Linked DNA regions of Drosophila melanogaster. The protein of the gene in region 1 interacts with the protein of each later gene in a pairwise test. Each region holds a gene or a part of one and is shown on either strand. Other genes may lie near its edges.

Evidence for each region. The genes of interacting proteins can lie anywhere in the genome.
Region 2: the proteins of NimC3 (region 1) and CG34324 interact in a two-hybrid assay, tested with the Drosophila melanogaster proteins (one large-scale study listed by BioGRID).

What each region holds. Positions count from the first base shown.
Region 1 is NT_033779.5:14,016,004-14,023,446, reverse strand, and holds NimC3 (nimrod C3), read left to right. Parts: upstream 1-3,238; 5' UTR 3,239-3,283; coding exon 3,284-3,958; 3' UTR 3,959-4,090; downstream 4,091-7,443. Other genes in the region: bgm (bubblegum), read right to left, coding at 4,438-4,761, 4,821-5,412, 6,410-6,909, 6,970-7,315, 7,413-7,443.
Region 2 is NC_004354.4:13,453,743-13,461,436, reverse strand, and holds CG34324 (uncharacterized protein), read left to right. Parts: upstream 1-3,773; 5' UTR 3,774-3,825; coding exon 3,826-3,835; intron 3,836-3,930; coding exon 3,931-4,724; 3' UTR 4,725-4,903; downstream 4,904-7,694.

The DNA of each region.
Region 1 (7,443 bases):
TGATAATAACTAGAAGTTAGCAGAAAAATGCAAACTCATCTGCACTTTAGTATGCATTTGTGAAGCAAGAACTAATGTACGACGTTGACCCCCTTTTCGAGTCTGTCGTCAGCAGTGTCACAAGTTCAGCTTGAGTGCATTTGTGCTGATAAGTTCCTGGAGATAGTCGGTGCTACGGCACCGGGCCATGCATAGATGCACCCCATGTAGTGTAGTCATCATTACTGACACTATCATCGAATGCGGCGTCGCCTTATCAGCCATCATCCACGCACCGTATATGGAGTCGAACTCTCCCTTTCGATTGGGATGCCTTGATTTTCTGTCGTCATTGTTGATCAGTGGAAAATTCTAAAGTCACTTCTAGATGAACAATGGTGTTAATTGAGCGGAGATTGTGCCCTCTGCTTGATCATGGAAAATGATCAATGACTTTTGTAATTTCTTCAAGTGGAGCGGAACGTTTTCACTTGCTATCTTTGCATTTCTCTTATAAAAATTACTATTAAAATAAAACAATATCGGGGTCAATTGAGAACAAAATACTCTTTTTCCAAATGTGTTTGTACAATATCTGAAAAAATCAATGAAAAATATTCTTATAAAATTGTATATTTCGTTGTAAAATAAATAAAACTCTCACTTGCAAATTTATATTAACTTGCTAGCTCCTTCAAATCCTATAAAATAGAATTTGTATATAACCTAGATTCTTTTTTTAAGAGTTGCTTTATGTCACCATTATTTGTATTAATTTTCTGAAACTTGGAACACGGCACAACTTTTCACAGGGTATGCTCTTTTTTTTGACCGCCACTGTGCCATACACTTGTCTTACTTTTCTGGCATCAACTGTTGGCGATTCGCTAAACGCCGCCAGCCGATAATCACAACAAATAAAGTTGTTGCTCTGCTGAGCTCGCTGTGGTTGTTGTGGCTACGTCATCAGGGCCGGCATACAACAACAACACACATGCTGATTGGCATTACATATGTAGTACATACTCACATGTTCATACAGAGAGAGAAACAAGGCAAACTGGTTATAAATATACTAATAATAATATGACAAAATGAAAAGTTAAGCATAATACAAATTCACATTTGTTTTTCATATAATATTAATAAGTAATAATATAAGTAAAGTGTCTTGGTCGCATTTATTAAAGAGTCGTTTTAAGCTATTGTTTTCGGCATTAAAGTACCTAAACATTTTTCTAATTTTATTTATATTTTTCTATTTCTTTGCGGTGCAGCTTTGCATATTTGAACACTCTCCTCGACGTCGTCTATTACATTTCTGGTTTTTTGCTTTCGTGTGCTATTGCTCATTACACACACACACACACACACACACATCACGCACACACACGGTGGAGAATGTAGATAGACGGGTATGTAAACATGTGTACGTTACATACCTACGAATTTGTGAGAACGTCGCCCGTTACCGTTTTAGCTTTCATGGGGTAACATTAACCGTCCCGCAACCCGGCCAACCCCCCGCCACTCCTACAACCCATAACTACACAATGCCGTCGCAGGGACAACAACAACAGCAACATGCGAGCATTGCACACCACATACACGCTCCTCTGCTCTTTCGGCCTGCTAATCGTTTCTGCTCGCCTGCTGGCTGCTTATGTTTATTTGTATATATCGAGCAACACAAACGCACAAAGCTCATATGCAAAACCCGCCCGGCACATACAACTCTACCGTGCCACCCGTATGCCCCATAGACTCATGGGTACACCCCGAGCAACCGTACTCTCTGCAACGGAAAGCATCCGCATATCCATCAGAGCTCGGCTAGCCAACGAGCACGGACTTGCTGTCGAGTTGTATGTTGCTTTACACTTGGAAAAATTAAAATCAGCCACTTTTATTTATAAATAAATTCTAAGCTTTAAATACTTGAATATAATTTGTATTTTTCTAGCTAATTAAACTTCTTTAATATTTAAACTAAATGCTCAAAAATATCACATTTTGACATATGTATGTAAAAATTAAATTAACGTGGTTGGCATTATGTATAATTTATATTTTGTATATTTATAGCTAAAATTTAAATATATTCGCGGTAAATAATCAAGATGTCTGTTTACAATACTTTTTCATTTGCATTCCCTTGTAAACTTTTTTTCTATAAAATAGGTTATATTATTATTACTTGGTTTAAATGTTAGCTTTTTTATTAATTTAATTATTTTCTAAACGAATTCAGTTTTTCCCTAGTGTAATTACATGCGTTCATACAATCTTGGCAGTAAGAGCTTGTTAGCAGACGCAGAAGTATTTACATACGCATGCTTAAACTTAGAACCAGTTTGAAGAAATTCATTTGCTCAGCTGATTTCGTGTAGATGATAGTTACGTATGTTCGAATTATATTGCTTCTTTTAAATTTATAATAACCAGATCTAATCATAATGAAGAATATACAATATATGATATACATGGCTTAAGGATCCATTCATTCGTTCCATCCATAGCTAACATTCAGCGGGTCTAGTATACCCCTTTAATGTACGAGTAAGGGGAATATCCAGCATGTTGCATCAATCTATTCGCATGAGTTACAGATACTTTATTTCATGTTCTTGAGATCGTCTCGAACCCACCTGCAACCAGAGCCAACATGCTCGACCCAAGGCCGATTCTCCACTCTCCAAACGGTCGTCTTGGTACATTTCCAATGCTGTTGATAAGAACGGCGGGCGATGCAAAAAGAAATAATAATAGCAGACCCACAGACTGACTTATCATACTTATTACTTTTAAGACTGCGAACGGCACGATGCACACACAAAAAAAAACTGAATGAATTATTAACTTTAATACTAATTTACCAATAAAGGTAATAAAGGATAGTCATATCAGCCATAACGAAGTGCGACTTAACTGTATATCTATAGTTTGTGAGTTTTCCGTTATATAAACATTGGCTATGATACTGGAAAGTTTCTTAATTATTTCCAATGAATAAGAATTTTCGTTGTATTTCAGTAACCTTTACAGGTCGTAATATAAAGTCTACAACGTTTAGAAAATCACAGATTGTATCTGTATGTGTTGAAGTAATATACACATGAAACTGAAGCCACATTTTATTGTTAAGCTTCTTTGATTAATTTTTGGAATGCCACATTTTTTCCGAGTGAGCAGCAACAGAAGAATCGGGATTGGGGTTCTCTTTAATCTGCGGCTGCTGCGTTTAGTGCACTTGCGACGACGTACGCACAATCTTGAAGAACCCAGACCGAAGCGAATGGCATCAATGCTGCAACAAGTGCTGTATCCCATGCTGGTCCTCGTCCTGATGACGATCCACTTGGTGGAGGTCAGCAGCCTGGCCATCACCAACGGTCATTGCCAGAAGAACATCAGTGTCAAGTATCAGGTGCCCGTGGCCAAGACGCGCATGGCGGGTGCAGGTCCTCCAAATGCCAGCCATCCCATCGACTTGGACAGCTATGTGGTGTACGAGGAACGGGTGCGTTGGGACAACATCCAGGTGTGCTGCCCGGGATATCGAACCATTCTCTTTGGCTTCTGTGAGCCAGTCTGCCAGGAGGCGTGCCCCGCCCACAGCTACTGTGCGGAGCCGGATCGCTGCCATTGCCAGCGGGGCTACGAGCCATCGCACCACCACACCACTGGCCACCAGCTCATCTGTCGACCTGTCTGCCAGGGTGGTTGTCCGGAGCACAGCCATTGTGTGGCCCACAACGAGTGCGAGTGCTGGCCGGGATTCAAGGATGCGAGCAGCTGGTTCAGCCTGAGCCTGCGTTGCGAACGGGTGCAGTGCGGCCATGAGCAGCGATTTGATCCGGGACGACGTGCCTGCGTCCAGATCGAGATGAGCATGGAGGAGCTGATGCAGCGTGTCGCCGAGCGGCTCGCCAAGGGACTTGAGGCAGAAGAGGAGGCGGCCAACGAACCGGAATCATAAGTTTCAGAGTAAATGCATCATTTTCTAACCAATCTGAATCTCCAGTGGTAATCAATCAGCCATGTAACTGTTTGAGATGTTTAATAAAGTGAATTAATTTTTTTTAATAACAAAAGCTAAGGATACTGAAACAAGCAATTGAAGTAATCACAACCGAAATGGTAGTTAATCTAATTACAAATTTATTGTTGCTCTTCAGACAATAAACAATTTTCGTTTGTTCAGTTGGTACAACCAAATAGTATATAAAAAATAAAACTTAGTTACTAATTAAATGATCTCTGGACCTAATCGTTGGCAAGCTCGTGTCTACCTAGGCATAGGGCCATAGTTGTTCTTAGTTTAATATCCAACAGTTAACATCAGCCTAAATCAAATTAAAAGTGGCACTCAATTGGCTTGGAAGTCCGTTAAATTCAAATTCACATTAAAGCTCAAGTTCCGCGGCTATCATCGGTTTCGATCTTGCAGTGAGAAATCTAGGCATATAGTTTCTCGATCTCATCGGCATACATCTTGGACACAACGTTGCGCTTAACCTTTAGGGTGGGTCCAAGTTCGCCGGTGGGAATGGAGAAGTCGTGCGGCAGAATGGTGAACTTCTGAACCTTTTGGGCATTGGAAATGGACTGCTTGTTGGCCCGCTTAATGGCATCCTCGATGGACTTCCACACCTTGGGGCAGGGACCTGCGGCCAGGATATCCGATACGGTCTTGTGCTCCACTCCCAGCGATTTCACCCACACGGAGGACTCGTGGCTAAGCTCGTCCAGCGGCTCACCGGAATCCTTGTCCACTTCGGTCTGGAAATCAAAAAACAATTAAATACTTTCCAACCAATTGGATTCGATTGAAGACTCACCTTTAGGGTGATCAGAACAGTGAGATATTTGCGCTGCTCGCCCACCAAAAAGGCATTGGAAATGGCATCCAGCTCCTTCTTGATCGTGTTCTCGATGTGCACTGGCGGTATGTTCTCGCCGCCGGCGGTAATGATGATCTCCTTGGATCGTCCCGTCAGTGAAACATAACCCTTGTCATCCACAAATCCCAAATCACCGGAATGCAGCCAGCAGTCGTCATCCAGCGACTCCTCGGTCTTCTCCTTGTTGTCGATGTAGCCCATGAAAACGTGACGTCCTCGGATGCACAGCTCTCCGTGACCGTTGGCATCCTTGTTGATGAACTTGGACTCGCAGCCGGGCAAAGTTTTGCCGATTGTGTTCAGACCCACGGAATCGGGAAGGCAGATGGTGTGACAACCGGCCGTTTCTGACATGCCGAAGGCATCGACAATCTTTAGGTCCAGACTGAGGAAGTACTTCTTCGTCTCCGGCGACATGGGAGCTGCCGCACTGGCCAGTGTAAGGACGCGATCGAAGCCCAGGGCCTGCTTCACCTTGGACATGATGAGCGACTTGGCAATCTTGTACCGGAATCCCCCGGAGCTCTTGCTGCGAGAAGTTGTGTTCAAAAAGTTTAATTAGCTTTGTTGCCTGATGAGTTTTTGTTCAAGGTTTGGGGTTAGCTATTGTGGGTATGTGTAATGGAATGTGTGGTGTTTGCGAATTAGTCGCACATCAATAAACAAAGGATTACAAAATGCACCTGCAATAGCATGATGCCAATTAGTCGTTCGAATTCGTCTAACTATTTTCTGTCAGCAATAAATTCTATTAGTTATTAATAAATAGTTTGTAAAATTGCGAAAGCTTTCGTTTTAAATTTCCCTCAATTACTTTTAATTTTCGCTTGATTTTGGACCGCCTGCTGGGTTTCCCAATGCTCCAGTCACTGCAAAAGTATCTGCACTTAAACGAAACTCCCTATTAGTTCTACACTTCTCCCTTGAAGTTCTCTCCATTCACCCGCTTTTACTTAAGAGGACGTGCCCGCATGGCGTGTCCTGGCTCTGCTCCTAGTCGTGGTCCTGTTCCTCGTGCATTTTCTATTTTCTGGTACATACCACCAGCAGCAGGAGCAGCAGCAACAGCAGCGGGAGCTGTTCCACGTGACGTATGAGTAATGTTGTTGTCAGTGATTTTCGCTTTAAGAAGCGCTGTCGGCCCGCTTGGCTTGCATAATTTAGCGGACACCGAAACTCGGCACACATGTACACAGAAAAAAAAAAAATGTTGCCAAGTGAAGTAACAATTTTTACGAGCACACTAAACTAAACCAGCTAAACCAATTTGTTTTCTAGTATTTTTCTTTTCCTTTTAAAAGGCGCTTTTTTCAATATAATGATTAATGGCCCTCAATGGCTTCCTTGGCCAGGAAGCTGGCCGAAAAGCTGGGTGAACCATGTAAAATGCAGGGAATGGGAGTTTGCGAGTGGAATTCTGTCGTTGCAGCCACTTTAACTGTGCATCCTTTTTACATAATTTATGCGCACACAAAGTCGAAGTTGAAGTATTTAAAGAAGAGAGGCCTCATCGGGGGAATACTTACCCTTGACTCACCATGTAGTGCTTCAGCGTGATGCCCTTGGCCCAGCTGGCGAGCATCTTCTTCAGGCTGCCGCTGGAGCTGGCCACGGCGACCATTCGCTCCTGGAACTTCTCGTACACACGCGGCACGCCCATGAATCGCGTGGGTCGCGCATCCTGCAACGACTTCACCAGCGTTCCCTTCAGCGCATCCTTGTCGGCGAACCAAATGCAGCCCGCCACAAAGGCGCAGGTGTAAATGTCCACGGTCTGGGCGGCCACGTGCGAAAGTGGCAGGTAGGAGACGATCGACTCCGCCCCAACCACCACACGGTCCATGGCCTTGACGATGCCGCGCACATCGAAGGTGATGTTGTCGTGGGAGAGCATCACGCCCTTGGGCATGCCCACCGTTCCGGAGGTGTAGACCAGGCAGCAGCACTCGTTGATCGCCACATTCTCCAAACGGGTCATGTACTGATCCTCCACGTCGCTAACGTTCATCGACTCGATCTCCGACCACTGAGGATGATGAGTTACAAAATTAGATATATCCTAGACTTTTTAGGGTTCCTCACTCACCCTGTAGTAGCCATCCTCCTTCTTCAAGTAGGGGGAATAGGGCTCCTGGATCTGAATGGCGGCCTTGAGCTTGGGCAGCTTGTCGCGAATGGCGTGAATCTTGTCCATTTGCTTGGCGTCGTCGACGACCACGATTTGGGCATGTGAGCTCTCCAGAACGTGCTGCACTGCATCGGCGGAATTGGTGGTGTAGATTCCGGCGATGATGCCTCGTGCGTGAATGGCGCCCATGGCCGAGTAGAACCATTCGGCGCAATTGAAGGCCAGCACACCCACCGAATGGTGCTCCTCCAGACCGAGCTTAATGAACGCCTTGGCCACCTGGTGCACCTTCTGCTCATATTGTCTGCGGATGATGGCAGGCAAAATAATTCGGTTAGCGGTTAAGTGAATCGCGCGCAAATTGGCAATTGGCCAGCAATTCGATTAGCGGTGGTACTCACTTGTAGGTGACAGTGTGATATCCGTTCTTGC
Region 2 (7,694 bases), on another chromosome or scaffold:
TCGGCTCAGTCATCGCCCGATTTTAACCCATACCCGTGGCGCACGTAGTTCCCACACAGTTTGTTTCCTGTCCAGGTCTGTCTTGTTTACAGGTTTTTTTTCGGATCTTTACCATTTTTTGTTTTTTTTTGTTTTTGCAGCTTTCATAGTTTTATTTTTTCTGTACCGCTGTCTGTTGGTCTATTTTGCTGTCTTGGCAGAAAACCGTGTAGTCCGATGCAGTGATTCTGCTGCTGTTATAAAATATGAGCAGGAATTAGGCTACCATAGACACACCCATACACTGACAGCGGCACGCACACACACACACACACACACACACACACGTACGGGATAGACAGGACATATTTGTGCAAAGTTTTCATATATTTTCGTGCCTGAAGTTTGGCCCGCTCCGAGCGGCAGCTGATAAAAAAGCATGTAAAGTGGATATGGTACGGGGGACAGGAGACAGGGGAAACAAGGAACAAGGGACTGGGAACTGGGAACAGGACATATGTCCTGCAGGGATTCGCCTTCTGGCTCCAGGGCTCACCGAAAGGTGTGAGCGAGTGTGTGTTTTGTCAAATGTGCACTCATTTCTGCTGAAAAATTGAAGTACATGCATGACTGCTCCAACCTGTCACAGGCCACCACCCACTCGACCATCCTGAAGAGTTCTCGTCCACACGGAGAGAAAAACATAGCATAAACTATTCCCAAAACACTTTACACGAGTAAGAACCCTAAAAAAAAAATTTCACAAAATTTCATTGATTAATATTCTACACATTTTAAAAAATAATTGCGATATATGATTAGGTTTTCGCTTAATTTAGCTTTGTATAATGATATCTAAAATGATCGTTACTATATATATATATGTATTTGTATTTTGTATATATTTTTCCCATAGTGATCGTAAGACTTTTAGCTTGTATTTTATTTTCGGTTTCGTTGTTACTTTGGTTCTTACTTTTTCTTGTAGATTTCATAAGATTTCCGGTCACTTCACTAATGAGTTTTACAATGCCCCGTAGCACAGAGTCTCGAGCCCTGGAAATTGTTGATACAATGTCCTTGCACAAACAGTCCTTAAATCCAATCCTTCCTTGGACAAACAGTCATGTGTGTGTGTGTGAGTGTGTGCTTAATTTAATTTCCCATTCTTCATCTCGGTCTGGTGGTTGGGCAAGTGTGTGTGAGAAGAAAGAAGGGCATTTCCATTGAGCCGTGTCTCTGTTTGTCTTCTGTTGGGCGAGGTCATCTTTTACGAAGGAAGCTGCCTCCGCTTAAGGAAAAACTTTACAACAGCTAAGTGCTTAATTTATGTTGCTCGACTAATTCATTGAGATGGTCAGAGATAAGTTGAAAAGTCTCCACTCGAAAACCTGACAAAAGGCCGAGGTGAGGCTGCCACTTTTAGCAGCAGGGTAAATAATTCGGTTGTCGTGTGTGTGTGAGCTGCCGGAAAAATGCATGAATGCTTAAAATATATATTTTTAATTCAATTTGCAACGTAACTCGATAAGATATGCAGTAGTAGAGGCAGAAAATGCACTCTTTTCGGGGACTAATGGATTATAAAAAACGATACAATGGTGAAACTTTTTGAGCCAATGCCATTCGCTTTATTTTGTACATTTTACTTAACTTATCGAGAACTCGCCGCTTGTCCCCAGAGTTTTTAATGGGAAAGAAAGCTGGGAAACTTTTACTTCTGCTCCAGCAGCTTTTAAGTGAACGTATAATTATTATAGATGCTTCAAAACCAATCTGAAGTTTATGGGCGAACAAAAGAGTGAAATAATCTTAAGACCCTGGTAATGATTAAACTCCTTAAAGTTTCGGGCCACTTTCTCGTCTGGAAAGTTTGCTCGACTATCGCCTAAATCACAGCGAACTTTTTAGCCGCAAAGTGATTCATTCATAATCTAGAAGAAACTCAACTATTTTGTGCATATCTCCGCCTAAACCAAACTGGCCAAAGTTCATTCATAATCTGAGATTGTTTCGCCAACTATTCGCATATACTTCATATATTTAGATATATATGTATGTATGTATATATATCTTTATATAAATATATAAAAGCGTACATAAACACTTTAGCACACTGGCAGATGAAGAAAGGCGGATTTATCATAAACTTGGCTGCTTTTTAATATTCACATCACACGCTGCGTATGAGTAATTTTTGCCCGGCAAATGGCCAAGTCGTGTTTGTTGGCGAGGGTGTAGCTTTACGAGTGCTAAGTGAATGAAACAAAGTGAATTTAACTCAATCCAATTGAACCATAACGATTGAAAGTTTTCGGGGCTTATGCGGGCTGTAAAGCACTCCCCACACTTTGAATATAAATTAAAATCCAATGCACATCATTTCGCAGCTTCAACAATACCCAACTCAAAAATTGTAAAACAAAAAAAGGAGTCTGAAAAGGGCACCTCCGAAATCCGAAAACAGATGTCGGAATATAAATGCGTGCATAAATATTCGCCATGCGACAACAATTGATTCTGTTTGCTTATGCCGTTTGGAAATATTCTACTGTTTAAATAAATAATTATTTACGATCGCAGTGCAAGGGTTCAAAGGGCACGATTGGGTGGTGAAATCAAGGATATCACGTGATGGAGCTGAATGTGGACAGATTTGAAACCATGTCATATTGCTATGCTTTGATTCAATTGTGAATAAATAAGAGAAAGCTCAATAGCAGATTTTTAAAATAAATAATTAAAATATGTATAGATATACTAAACAAAAATAGGTGCTACATTTGAATTTGTTTTAAAATGAATCGCTGTTCGCTTGGCCCAGTAAACTTCTCTATCACTGGGTGATTGGTATAAAAATCGCTCATAAATCTTAACTGCAACAACCATATTTAATTACAAAACTTTTGCCAACTGTCCAGCGCTTTTCAACGCCCCCCCTACACCACCAGCTGTCCAGGATATGCGGGACACACGGGGATATGGTGGTCCTTTTTGTTTTTTGTTTTCACAACCGCGCTGCAGGCAAGGTGGACTTTCCGAGGGGCGGAAGTGGCAATGCGGAGGTTTTCATGCCGAAATTATTACGCATACCCACACACAGATGCCCCCTTAGGCTCTTTGCCATTTTTATCGACTGCCAAATGGCCAACACTTGTCCACTCATCCGCTCTTGGCCACATGGCCTCTTGGCCACATGGCCACTTGGCCTAACACTTCCGGTCCGGGGCCATAAACCGAAATCTCTTGTTTGCACTGGCCCGGAGTCAAGAAGCAATTGCCAAAAAAAAAAAAAGGAACAGAAAGCAAATGGGGGGCCGGGCCTGCGAAATCAGTTAACAGGCAATTTCAACTATTTTACAGATTGCGTACGGAATGGCCAAATGAACCGGGCCAAATGTCAATGCCATCAGTGTATGTTCGAATGGAGATCACTGTGGGAAAACTCTTTCAAAAAAACACAGTATTAAGTCTAAAAAATGACATATGTAACAATATATATTTGAAAACGAACATTAAGCATGATTGTTTTCCCCTCAAAGAATAAGTATTATATTACAGCAAAAAATAAAACAACTGCGAAGTAAAAAACAAAACATTTTGCTTACATGAACAAAACACGATACCCCAAAACCTACAACCAGACCAATTTTGGTTAATTAGCAGAGTGCCGAGAACCTCGGGGATCATGGACCATGTACCACTCAACAGATCTCAAGTGCTTTCCCTGTTCCACAGCCAGATAAAATCTGCAACTGGGCGATATAAAAAGAGCCCCGAGTGCAGCTAACATCATTCGCTAACCAGCAGAGAAGTTGAAACTGCAGAGGCATTATCGAACGCAACATGAGAGTTTGTGGGTAGCTCCGATCCAAGATCCTCCATAAAAAAAAAAAAAAACAAGGAGTTTCTTCTTATTTTTATTTTTTTTTTTTTTGTGCTTTATCCTAGACCACTTGCTGCTGATTGGATTAGTTTTGGCGACTATCGCCGGCGGTCATGAGGCTTTGGCACATCCGCCTAGAGCCGATACCCCACCGTGTACTCCTCCCCCGGATCCGTGCACAACAACAACATGCCCACCACCACCGCCGTGCACCACAACAACATGTCCACCACCAGAACCACCACCGTGCACCACAACAACATGCCCACCACCAGAACCACCACCGTGCACCACAACAACATGCCCACCACCACCACCTCCGTGCATTACTACAACGTGCCCACCACCACCACCACCTCCACCACCACCACCACCACCACCGTGCACCAGGACACCACCTCCATGCACCAGGACACCACCTCCATGCACCAGGACACCACCTCCATGCACCAGGACACCTCCTCCATGCACCAGGACACCACCCCCCTGCACCAGGACACCTCCATGCACCACCACTCCTCCCTGCACCCCACCGTGCACCACCACCAAGCCCTGCACCACAACCGTTTGCACAACACCCAAGAGCGACAACGCTGGGCCAATTGTCGACGGAAATGAAGAACAGCCCGATATAGACAATCCAGTTGCTATTGCCCAGGTGCTGATCTCGCGCCACGATTGCCGTGGCCAGGAGGACGGAACCTTCCTCGCCGACGTGCGTCACTGTCGCCGCTACTACGTGTGCAACCGTCAGAGGTCGAAGCGCCAGAACTGCCCCAACGGCTACTGGTTCGATCGCGAGCTGAAGGCCTGCCGACTGGCCAGTACCGTCAACAACTGTGACGCCAGGCGCAACTGATGTTGCTGCTGCCAATGTGGCCATGCGCACAAGCAAAGCAAATTGGCTTTAAAGAATTTTTTTTTTTTTCACTATTTCAAAGAACATAGAAGCAAAGCAAGTGTGAATTAATTGTAAACTATGCCAAAGCAATAAAGTAAATATTTCACCGATTATACAATAAATAAGAGTGAGCATTCATATTTGAGTTGAACATTAGTTGCGTGCAAAACAGTGTGACCGAATATTGCCAGCACAGGGTTACTTTGATCAATTTGAACTATGCAGCTGTGTCGGCCCTTTGATTTACTTTCGAAATCAATCAAAGCCTTTATTAATATATAGCTAAATATAGAACACGAACGATTAAGCTGTCTGGCCCGCTCTCCAATTGTCATCAATTTGCCCGGAGGCAAAATAAAGAAAACTTTCAATCAGCCGAACAAAAATTGCGAAAAAGCAAAACAAGCTCATAAATTTGTCAACACTTTTGGAGCGACATCGACTGCGAGTGGAAGTGGTAGTGGATGGTGGTAGTGCCACTCGGTCGGGTGGGGGTCAGAAAAGTATGCCACAGTTTGGTGCACATCCATATCCGTTTTATAGGCGTCAACTTTTCGGTCGAGGACTGGAAGGGCCAACAACAACAGCAATAACAGTGCGACATTTGTGAGTTAGTGTCTGTGTGGCATTACTATGTCAGGCTATTTATTATATCCTGCCACATACCACCGCCGAGCCTGTGCCACCCACATTGACTGTGAACTGTGGCCTGTGGACCATGGTGCTGGTGATGGTGCAGGGCATTTGACAGGGCAAAGAATTTATTTGTCGATAAGCATCCTTGATATTTTACGTTGGCGGTTCCCAAGTGGGCCCGGAAAATCTCGCGGAAATCTCCCCAAGTCACTAAATCAGCCAGGGAAAAATAGTCCTTGATGGTTATTCATGGCTTGTTGTAGCTTTTCCTTCAAATTGTTACTATACGCTGATGTATATCTCGCATTTCCGTAAATGTGAATTGCGCAAATGTCTTCATAAATGTATGGCTTACGAAAATATGCTGCGAACGATTCGAAAGAACTTTAACTTTACTTAAATCCCACATAAAAAAATACTTACTGCAAAAAAAAAAAAACGAGACGCGAGTCTGCCCTTACATTTCATATAATTAGTGTGAACAAATGCGTTATATGTAAAGGCATGCCAGTGTGGCAAGTAGTTAAATATTTCACAAAAACGCTTTGTCTTTCCAGCGTTCGTATGCAATGTTTCACGTGTTTTTACCCTGAAAATGATTTTCTCTTTTTTCTTTTTTGCTAATATCTGCAGGTATTTTTCCCCCACAAACCAACAAAGGCGTAGGAAAATACTAAAAATAATAACTATAAAAGTGCTCAAGTTCATTGTATTCTTAGAAGAGAAAGGTGCATCTTAAAATGAAAAGTAATGAACCCATTTACTGCATAACCATGAAACAAACTATTTCCTTTAGTTATATGGACATGCTCTAGGGAAAATATGTTTAAGGTTCAAGAAATATAAGCAGTGCACTTAAAAACTGCATTTTTTTCGTCGCTGCGTTCGGTGTTTTTTATGTATTACATTCTTGCTCCTTTGTACGTATAATATTATTATTATTTTTGGTTTTTTTCTTTTTTTTTTTTCTTTTGGGTCAGCAACACAAATCAAAACGCAAAGCGCCGCAGCCGAGAACCACGTGGCGTCGCGTCTGACTTTTATCATATTTCACTGGGGCATTCGACGAACGCCGCAAAAGGAAGGAAAATAAGGCTCAAAAAAAAAAAAAAAAAAACAGGCGACGGAAAAAATTCGAGAGACGAAATTGAAACAACATGGCAGGACCTCGGCTAAGGATACTTTTTGCCATTACCCGCAAAACGGGCCGTGGCAATAAAATGCCCAAAACTTTAAATGCAAAAATGGGTTTTTGGTTGCGTTGCGCTCAGCTTTCGCCATTTACGTGCATATATCTATGTCACCCAGTGTATATGTATTAAATATCTCCGCGCTTTTTTATGGCGCAAAGTGGCGCGCGAATTGTTTTTGCCCAGTTGGGCGCATATAACGCATTCGTATTCAGACTCACGCCACCCCCTCACTCACGCACACACACACACACACACGCATTGAAAAAAAAACAAAACAAAACAAAAAACACGCATACGTCCATGGGGACAAACATAGATACCCCGGGTGTCCATCCACAGATACAAAACCGCCACACGGGGCAAGTTCTCACAGATGCATTGGCATTCTGGCCAAGAAAAATCCAGCAAATTTCGCCATTTATTCAGATTCAAAAATCGTCAACTGACAAAAGCTGTAAATTGATATTGAAACCAAGAATTCACAAATAAATGAAAATAACTTGAAAAAGAAGGCAGTAAAAAAATATCCACAAAGGTATAACAAATAGTGATACAAAAGACTTAATTTGAAGCAATGCATGAAGCAAATATTCAAACGATTTTACTTGTAGTTGAAATTTATGAAATCAAATACAACAGTATTTTAAGCTGAAATGTGAATTTGAATAAAAATCAAAGCTGAAAAAAAATGTAAACAAATATAAAATCAAATCTGTTGTGTAAATTGTGTAAGATCTATCTTCTTAAAGATGATTAATAAAGAAAATTCAAAATGAAATGCAGTACGAGGAAGGCAATGAGTGGAAATCAAATGACCAGAAACCGATTTTAAATTGAAACTAAATATGAAATGAATAATTTCCATTTGTCAGCATTTTTGCAAAGCAAAACTATTGAAGCGCTTTAGGCACAGTTTAGAAAATAAAGAATATATATATATATATATATATATGTATATTTTAAATTGAATTATTAAAAACATAATATGTCTGCAAATATAGTGAATTAATTGGGAAATAGTCAAAAAGCACCCTTTCCTTTCAAAATGTAAATATAAATACAAAATTACTAAATGATTTCAATTTAAATACAAATCATA